3 linked regions of the Saccharomyces cerevisiae S288C genome follow. The gene in region 2 interacts genetically with the main gene of each other region. Each region holds a gene or a part of one and is shown on either strand. Other genes may lie near its edges.

Evidence for each region.
Region 1: mutations in YGR016W (region 2) and APA1 together harm fitness more than expected from each alone (negative genetic interaction), as found in Saccharomyces cerevisiae (one large-scale study listed by BioGRID).
Region 3: mutations in YGR016W (region 2) and YCR101C together harm fitness more than expected from each alone (negative genetic interaction), as found in Saccharomyces cerevisiae (one large-scale study listed by BioGRID).

What each region holds. Positions count from the first base shown.
Region 1 is NC_001135.5:37,269-40,869, reverse strand, and holds APA1 (bifunctional AP-4-A phosphorylase/ADP sulfurylase), read left to right. Parts: upstream 1-2,068; coding exon 2,069-3,034; downstream 3,035-3,601. Other genes in the region: YCL049C (uncharacterized protein), read left to right, coding at 146-1,084; LRE1 (Lre1p), read right to left, coding at 3,254-3,601. UniProt on the Saccharomyces cerevisiae protein: Ap4A phosphorylase catalyzes the phosphorolytic degradation of bis(5'-adenosyl) tetraphosphate (Ap4A) into ADP and ATP. Can also use other Np4N' nucleotides (where N and N' stand for A,C,G or U) as substrates with equal efficiency.
Region 2 is NC_001139.9:520,097-523,333, reverse strand, and holds YGR016W (uncharacterized protein), read right to left. Parts: upstream 1,074-3,237; coding exon 501-1,073; downstream 1-500. Other genes in the region: YGR016C-A (uncharacterized protein), read left to right, coding at 1-88; EAT1 (putative hydrolase), read left to right, coding at 1,258-2,244; MSB2 (Msb2p), read right to left, coding at 2,471-3,237.
Region 3 is NC_001135.5:301,971-305,183, reverse strand, and holds YCR101C (uncharacterized protein), read left to right. Parts: upstream 1-2,153; coding exon 2,154-2,702; downstream 2,703-3,213. Other genes in the region: YCR102C (uncharacterized protein), read left to right, coding at 1-823; EMA35 (Ema35p), read left to right, coding at 2,963-3,213.

The sequences.
Region 1 (3,601 bases), on a different chromosome or scaffold from region 2:
AAACGAGCTTTTTTTCGTCTTGCATTCAGATTTAAATAGCTGCTTCTAAATATATACTTTACGCAAGAGGGTCCGGTCCCAATAGGAACCAAGCTATTGCAATTCCAGGGTTCAAGAGAGAAAAATCTGTAATCACTTCGAACCAATGTTTAGTAAATACCTCGTAACTGCATCTTCCCTCTTTGTGGCTTTGACCTCTGCAGCATCTACCGTTGATCTAGATGCTCTGCTTCTTCTACCAGGGGTCGAGTCCCACGACGGCGTTGATACTGTATTTTCGACCAAAGACTTTTATCAAGTGTCATTCGTCAAATCCATTGCTCCTGCTATCGTAAACAGCTCCGTAATCTTCCACGATGTTTCTCGTGGTGTGGCTATGGGCAATGTCAAGAGCAGAGCAAGTATCTTCAACCCAGAGGAAACGTATTACGATTGGGAACAGTACCAAGTAGTAAATAACGGAGACTGGCGAACCGAATGGGCACCTGCCTCTGACTGCATTTGGAGGGAGGAGAAGGATAACAGCGACGAAACACCGGACAGATTCCCCATCTCGGTGCCATATAATTGGACGTCACAGTACTCAATTGTAGATTATGACACAGACGCTAACGAAGACAATTTAGATTTCAGGTTTATTAAATCATTGCTAGATAAGAAAAATTGGTTGAAAAAAATTAACCAGACTGTTTCCCAATCCAGTATTATGGTAGCACCAATGATTAGGCCATACAATGTGGTCCAGCTTTGGTATTCAAAAGATATGGTTTGGGCAAACGTCCAAAGACAATATTGTAGCGGTGTTTATCCAGGAGGGACTCAATGTAGCGCTTGGTCCAGGTACTACCATGTTGATGCACCCACCTGCGATGAGCCTGTCGCCTCTTACATGACCAAAATGTTGGAAAATGAGGTTCAGTGTCCCAATGAGAGAAACGCAACTACCCTAGAGCCTCTCCGCCTGAATAAGCAGGGAGACTCTGATTTTTCTTTGACTTTCGAGGAAGAGGAAGAGGAAGAGACAGGATCTAAATCTCTTTGGAGTACATTGAAAAAAATTTTCTCTAAAAGAAGTATAAGTTGATCTTAGTTGGTAGCACTTTGATGAGGTCTCTAGCAAAAAGTCTACAAACAAATTCTTGAAAGTGTTTGATTGTATATCGATATATCAGAAACATACATATGATTTTTATCTTGTGAATATTCATCAAACTCCGTTTTTAGCCCCCGTGTAAGTTACTTTAATGAGTATTTGATCCTTTTTTTTATTGTGTTGGTTTTTATATGTTTTGTTATGTATTGTTTATTTTCCCTTTAATTTTAGGATATGAAAACAAGAATTTATCAAAGAAAAAAATCTTAGCTTTAAGAACTACAAAGTAAATAAAAAATAATAAATCACACCGGACAGTACATGAAACTGGACATATTTGAGGAATTTCTTTTGAAGAGTTGAGCATTCAAACTGGCCGGTCTTGCTGTGGCCTCAATCCACTTGAGCTCCAAAGAAGGCTCTGAAATGCTTATTTTTTTCAAGCGATACAAAGTAAACAGTTACATACCTGAATGATACTACCACAACTATTTACATTATCGTCCTGTCAAAAGGCGAATAATCAGAACTGTTTGTTAACATGTCATTTTATAAGAGCGGCCTGAAATACTGTCATAAGTGGTCTGTCGAAAGTAGTTATTACGGCGTCGGGCGTCGCGAATAGCTCAAAAGTCACCCCAGCTTACACGATATTCCCATAACCTACAGCAAGAAGCTATTCTTGGATACAAGCACCAGTTACAAGCACTGCATTCATATATTGCCTTTTACTTTCCTATTCTGTATTTGTGTGCTAAGTGTCCTGTTTCGGAACGTTCTAGAAGATTTTCTTATTTTTCTCTTTTTCAGTTTTTTTTTCATCACGCAAAGGAAATACAATACAAGGTTAAAATGAAGGAACTAACATTACTATTATTTCCAATTTAAAGTTTACCTTAAAAGACAATAGATTGATCTTGAAAGCCAGTTTAGATAGATTTTAGAACAAACAGAAAAGTAAAAATTAAAATAAAAATGAGTATCCCCGCTGACATTGCATCTTTAATTAGTGACAAGTACAAAAGTGCCTTCGATAATGGTAACTTAAAATTTATCCAGACTGAAACAACGAAAACAAAGGACCCAAAAACCAGCATGCCATACTTGATTAGTCACATGCCAAGTCTGATCGAAAAGCCAGAGCGTGGCCAAACTCCAGAAGGAGAGGATCCACTAGGCAAACCTGAGGAAGAATTAACGGTTATCCCAGAATTTGGTGGTGCCGATAACAAAGCGTATAAATTGCTATTAAACAAATTCCCTGTAATCCCTGAACACACTTTATTGGTAACTAACGAATACCAACATCAAACTGATGCCTTGACCCCAACCGATTTATTGACTGCTTATAAGTTGCTGTGTGCCTTGGACAATGAAGAATCCGACAAGAGACACATGGTCTTTTACAATTCTGGTCCAGCCAGTGGTTCTTCATTGGACCACAAACATTTGCAAATTCTGCAAATGCCTGAAAAGTTCGTCACTTTCCAAGATAGACTATGTAATGGTAAAGAACATTTCCTACCAACTTTCAATACTGAACCTTTGCAAGATGCTAAAGTCTCGTTCGCTCATTTTGTCTTGCCAATGCCGGAGTCTGAAGAAACTGTTGATGAAGACCTATTAGCTATGTGTTACATCTCCATATTGCAAAGAGCTTTGACCTTTTTCCAGGACTGGTTGAACGAAAATCCAGAACTAAAGAAATCCTACAATCTTATGTTAACCAAGGAATGGATCTGTGTCGTTCCACGCTCGAAGGCCTTTTCTGATGAAATGAAGATAGGTTTCAACTCCACAGGTTATTGTGGTATGATCTTAACCAAAAATGATGAAGTTTTCTCCAAGATTACTGAAAAACCTGAATTGATTAACGATATCTTATTGGAATGTGGTTTCCCAAACACTTCTGGTCAAAAACCAAACGAATACAACTATTGAGTCCTTCACAAGTACAAGTATACACGTATACATGTATGTATATATATGTATTTAAATGATAGAAGTAATTTCTATATGTATATGTCTATTCAATTTTTATTTCTGATGACTTTGAAATTTTATATTTATTATTCTACACTTTATTATTAAAACTACATGCAATCAATGCCGTTAAGGTTACGATTCACCTTTTTATTACTTATTATTAATATTGTTGTATTACTTCCTTGAAAAAATATGTCTAAAGAGTCCTAATTTGGATTTTCTTTTCCTCCTAACTTCACTGTCCTGCGCCTGCTTTCCTAACGCATCATCGCTAATACACCAGCTTTCATTGCTTGTTGCTGCGCTGTTGCTCGCATGGAACGTTTTCAGTGCGTCATCATCCTGGGATAAACTAAAGACTAAGTCACCAGTTTCATTTGAGGCTTTTCTCTGCGCGTTGACAAAAGAGGACAGATCAACCATATCACCTGGTTCACCCATGAGAATGTCCTTACTTAGTTGCGAATTGGTTCTGATCTGCCCTTCAGACTTGGAATATTCATTACTGTCATTACTTTTAAG
Region 2 (3,237 bases):
TCCAATTGACATGGTTTTGCTCGCTCACCTCATTGGCATCATCTACTTAATTATAATTCTAGGTACATTGGTCATGTTGTTTTCTTGATAGATATGCAACGCCTCGAAGACTATTTAGCAAGCTATTATATTGAAATTAGAGACTTCTGCACTAGATAGCCTTTTCAAAACATACGGATAAACTGATCTTTTAACGTATCTGCACTTTTGTACGAAGCTGGAAAGTTCCGAAGAAAGTGTTAGCTCCAAACTGAATCCTCTTGTAAGCTATTCTATGTCCCCTTTGACTAGGTTAGTCTTTTACTGGATTTTAAAGCAGATTCCTGTGACGATGATTTTGGAATTAAAGCTATATATATGTATGCTTGAATAAGCTCGTAGCAGTACTTTTTGGCCTTGTTCACAAATAAGGAGCTGCCAACCAATCAATTTGTAATATTAGTAATAAATATTCCGGAATATACTAACCAATGAATATTACAATACGTCGCGATATAGAACTAAGCATTTTTGTATTTGTATTTCAAGCATCTTAGATCTGCGATTTCATCTTCGATATTTCGAGCCCATCTTTTCACAAGCACAGCGACCCAGAATAAAAACATTGGAACTTGCAAACAGAGCACCGTTTTTTTATCTTCGACCACATGATTGAAACTTATCCAAGCCATAAGTACTAGTAAAATAATGTTTATTATGTTAATAGAAAAATTGCTCACTCTTAACTTAAACTTTTTGAACAAAAGATAGTCGTTTACAATATCATATCTAAGTGTGATGCACGAACAGATCAAAGAATTAGCGCCAGCAAGAAGTGCTAACTTAATATACCCTCGCGATTTTCTTACGAGTATCATTAGCAGTCCGCCATATAGCAAATACAATATGCTTAACAGGTTTATGTACAGCTTATTTGTGATGTGAGCATTAGTCTCAAATTTTTGTATGAGTTCTTCCTGCTCTTCTGTATCTAATGGTAATATGGATACATCTTCTTGATCAGATTCACCGTCATGAGTGTAGTCAGAACTCAAGCTTAAGATCTTTCTATTGAATCTTCTTAATCTGGACATGATTGAAATATTTGCTTTATCTTAGTATCCTGTTTAAAAATTATTCTAAACTCAACCTATCATAGAAACCAGCCTTTACTGAATACCACAGCGCGTCTTTTGGGGAAACTGTTTTTGTCTCATGCCAAGGTCGAGACGTATACAAACTGCAAAATAAAAGGAACCGTGGGAAGAGGGCTTACAAATGTCGAGACTAGCGCATAATAAAGCGCTACCTTATAAAATAATTGTCGATTTATCATTCCATAGAACGCGTTTACCCTCAGATGTTTCATCGCTAATAAAATTCGAGCAAAGACCTGCAATTATTAACATCCATGGCCTTTTGGGCTCACACGTGATGTTTCATTCTCTCAATAAGCTTCTTTCAAGGAAGCTTGACGCGGATATTTTTTCTGTTGATGTAAGAAATCATGGCATTTCACCAAAAGCAATACCTTATGACTACACTACACTGACCAATGATTTGATTTATTTTATTGAAACTCATATTGGCTTGGAGAGACCTATTTATTTACTGGGATTCTCTATGGGTGGTAAAATTGCATTATTAACCACATTGTACAAGAATATTAATATACGAAAGTGTATATCAATTGATTTACCGCCTTATGAAACCCCAGAATTAGATCCCATGATATTACAAAACTATGACTTAATAATGCGGATTATCCGCAGAGATGTCAAGATTTTAAGAGGTTCCCCCAGCTGGCAGAAAAAAGTTCTTGAGCTTTTCAAAAGTTTGGAATGTAATAAGAGGAAATGTGGTGGAGCTGTGGCACTCTACTTTGCCAACGGTTTTCTTTCTGTAAAATCCAATAATGTACACCAAGCACAGTTACACTATGAACAACAACAGCATGATCCTTATATAAATTACTCAATGCCTCTCTCCAGCATGCCGAACCTGTTGGATGAAGTGAAAAAATGGCCGGATCTATCGAACCAAAGGGACTTCTTCCAAAAAGGCACAGCCAGTCGTAAAGTTTTATTCATGAAAGGCCTGCAGTCTAACTTTATTAACAATGATTATTCCCTCCTGAGGTATAACTTTCCCTGTGCTGATGTCCGAGAATTTAATACTGGGCATAATTTACTGTTGGAGAATCCAGAGGACTCATTCAAATGTATTCTGAACTTTTTTGCGGAGGAGACGCTGGATTTTGAATAAAATCTTGATGTACGTAACGCACTTTCTTCTCGTGTCAGGCCCAAATCAACGCACACAGCAGTGCTTCGATCTTTGATTACAAAGTAGATAATGATAAATGGAATAGATAAAAGTATTAAAACAACGTCTCCTTGAAGGAGAACTATACATAAGATATGAAATAAGTAGGTATCGTTATAAGTTTATAAGGTTATGCAAGCGGAGAAAGTCTCTGCAGACATTGCTATCAAACTTCGTTCCAACCCAGGGAGTTTTGGCTAGCAATTGGTCTTGAAATTTTTGGTATGGAACTCGATGTATTGTGCCTGGTTGGAGTTGAGTCATTATTTGTCAACCCGTGACCATAGTAACTATCATCCATCCAATTTTGAATTCGCATAGATTGTGTTATGGATTCTTGAACGCTCATTCTCTTTTCATTATTGTAATTTTTCTCTCCACCAAATTCACTTGAACTGATACTGGAAATTTCTGGGTTCTTGATAATTTCTTGACTTTGAATCCGCCTTCTTATGATATACTTGAAAGCAAAAATCATGAATAAAATATATAAGCATCCACCAACAACAACGCCGATAACTAAACCAATGATTTTTTTCTTTGATTTGCTAGAAGTGGATACGTTGGAGTTAGATTTGGATGAATATTCCAAAGTACCGGCATCTTGATAGGAATTTCCGGAAGATGAAGACACACCGGAGTTCGAATTAGATCCTGAACCTGAAGATCCTGAGTTCGAATTACTGGAGGAGGATCCGTCCGAAGATCCGCCAGAGTTGCTGTTACTATCGTGTAAGAGGCCCGTTAGCGGTATTGAGGAATCAACCATTGCAGCCATAGATTTTGCTGTACCCATTCCATCCGTGTAAAAAGCGCTTGAAGAGTTGGTAATTAGATTTGACAGCTCCTCTATTTCTGCAGTTGGAAAGTATACTTCAGCAACACTTACTAAGTAGTTGAGTGAGTCATCCTGTAATGGCACTATTTGTAGTA
Region 3 (3,213 bases), on a different chromosome or scaffold from region 2:
TGGTGCTTTTGCTGAATATTCTGCTATTTCAACTGTGGTTGCCTACAAATCACCCAATGAACTCAAATTTTTGGGTGAAGATGTTCTACCTGCCGGCCCTGTCAGGTCTTTGGAAGGGGCAGCCACTATCCCAGTGTCACTGACCACAGCTGGCTTGGTGTTGACCTATAACTTGGGCTTGAACCTGAAGTGGGAGCCATCAACCCCACAAAGAAACGGCCCCATCTTATTATGGGGCGGTGCAACTGCAGTAGGTCAGTCGCTCATCCAATTAGCCAATAAATTGAATGGCTTCACCAAGATCATTGTTGTGGCTTCTCGGAAACACGAAAAACTGTTGAAAGAATATGGTGCTGATCAACTATTTGATTACCATGATATTGACGTGGTAGAACAAATTAAACACAAGTACAACAATATCTCGTATTTAGTCGACTGTGTCGCGAATCAAAATACGCTTCAACAAGTGTACAAATGTGCGGCCGATAAACAGGATGCTACCGTTGTCGAATTAACTAATTTGACAGAAGAAAACGTCAAAAAGGAGAATAGGAGGCAAAATGTCACTATTGACAGAACAAGACTGTATTCAATAGGCGGCCATGAAGTACCATTTGGTGGCATTACTTTCCCTGCTGACCCAGAAGCCAGGAGAGCTGCCACCGAATTCGTCAAGTTCATCAATCCAAAGATTAGTGATGGGCAAATTCACCATATTCCAGCAAGGGTCTATAAGAACGGGCTTTACGATGTTCCTCGTATCCTGGAAGACATTAAAATCGGTAAGAACTCTGGTGAAAAACTAGTTGCCGTATTAAACTAGATGACGAACAGATATTATTTTTCTTTTGTATACACAGTTATTACGTATGTTAGAGTGACTTGGTTTTTTTTTTTTTAATGAAATTGTTTGTTATTGATCACGCCTTGTAGGGGAAACAGATGAGAACAGTGAAAATCATAACTCATTATGTGATTTGTTGTGCGTCACCCTTCCATGATTATATATCCTTACTATCTACTATCCAACTACTACATATCTATTGAACTCATATGTACCAAGCACATAAAATTATGCACCTATTTCCATTGGCAAAGACTTGGCGAAATTTAATACACTGTAATAATATCCGGCGAAGCTCTTTAAGAATTCTTACCTATAATAGCGGCTCGCTGTCCGAACGATTGCGCCGCACTTTTCTGCCTCTTACATTCCCTTTTCCTAAGGCGATAAGCAGGCTGAATGGAAACTACGATATAACGCAGTAGAGGTCCCCCAAGAGCTGGAAAGAAAATATTGGTTTGATAGCCAGCACTATTCTATCCAGTGGGCTCTTGTACCATTTTCTGTGGTATGGCTTTGATTCAACTGCATACGTAGTTAACGCGATCAGCCGCACATGGGCATTATCATTTTCAGGGGTACTGGTAAACCCTATTGTTTAGAAAGAATACCTGGTAAGCGGGTCTGTCGAGTCTTTCCCACTAATTTTGAAGAAAAAATCTTTACCTAGTTTGAGAATAATCGTGGCGTTCGTAACATCACGAGGTGAGAGAGACCAGTTAGGTAAGGGTATGCCAATAAAAGGTTATTGATACTTCAACGAATCTTCATATTAAAAGTGCCTTCACCAGAATAAAATTCTAACGTCATCCTAAAAAGCATCAATTGGACATAGTGAGGGAAAGTTTTCACCATTTAAAATCTATTCTGCAGAATACCATTCTAGACTATGATCCCTTAAAGATTCCCATTCTTTAAATATACAAATCAGGTTCAACAGCGTATCTTTATGGTATTATCGTACTACTGGCGACATTAGCAAATCCAAGTATCCTAACTAGGTTTCTAGTCTTATCTCTTGGTTTTCTCCATTAGATGGTAAACACGTTACCTTGATGGCTGTACAGGAAGTGAACATGGTCAACTCAAAGTCACCGGACTCAAAATAATTGCAATTACCTAGACTGGATATTTTTAGAATATTATGAGAATATTTTTAGAATACTTGCAACCCAAAATATATTTAAATGCCGCCAATTTGCAACCAAAAGATTATCCGCTACCTTTTTTTTAGTCATTGAATTGTAGCATAAAGTTCCGAGCTTTGAAAAAAAACTTTGAACTAAGAAAAGGTAAGAGATCCTCAATTATGATATTACTTCATGCCATATATACTCTTTGGGTAATTATACTACTTCCGCTACTCAATGCAGAGAAATTTGTCCCAAAAGTAACGGAGGCTCCTATAGAAACATCATTTAATCTAGTGAGTTTTGATGATTCCAACACTTCTATCAGATTAGATGGTTGGGGGGTTGTATGGATAAGTTTCGACGCTGGAGAAAATTGGGAAACGGTCAAAGAAATTGAAGAGCGCATTTTCAGATTTACTGTTGATCCTTTCCATGGACAGGAAAGAGGTTTCGCTTTTATATGTGAATCACCCAAATTCTACATTACCGACGACCGTGGGGAGTCATGGAGGGCTTTAACTATACCCTCATCAGAAGAATATTTAGATGGCGACTGTTTTATAACTACTCATCCTAGAAACAAAGAACTTCTTATTGCGAATTGCTATAGCTATATGATAGACGCAGACGTTTTATATGACCCAAGTGAAATTTACTTGAGCAATGATGGGAATCCTTTTTTAAAATTAAACCTTCCTTGGAAAAGAAAAAAGACGACGATATAACAACTTAAAGCTGTCATTTCATTAAGTCTAGCAAGGATTCTGACTTTACTGGTAATGATACTTCGATACTCTGTTTGTTCTCTAACCGTGAATACGATGAAGAATATCGCTTAACTGCTACCTACACACAGTTGGCTTTCAGTAGTGATGGAGGCAAAACGTTTAAAGATTTTGATGAATTTAAAGATAAGATTGTTACTCAATACAAGATATTGAAGTCATATGTGGTCGTTTTAACGCAAGATGACGGGCATAACGAGATGTCATCTACGGACATCTGGATATCCAATGATGCATCTACTTTTCAAAAGGCACAGCTGCCTACTCAATTACGGCACGTCAAAGTGATTAAAATTCGTGAAGATTCTATCGGAAGGATCATCCTTCTTATATCGACAGAAATCACAAATGAGGAAAATGCTGATCCAGATCTCTCAGAGATTTTCATATCAGATTCGCAAGGGTTGAAATTCTCACCTGTTGAATGGACACCAAACCATCAGTTTGGAAA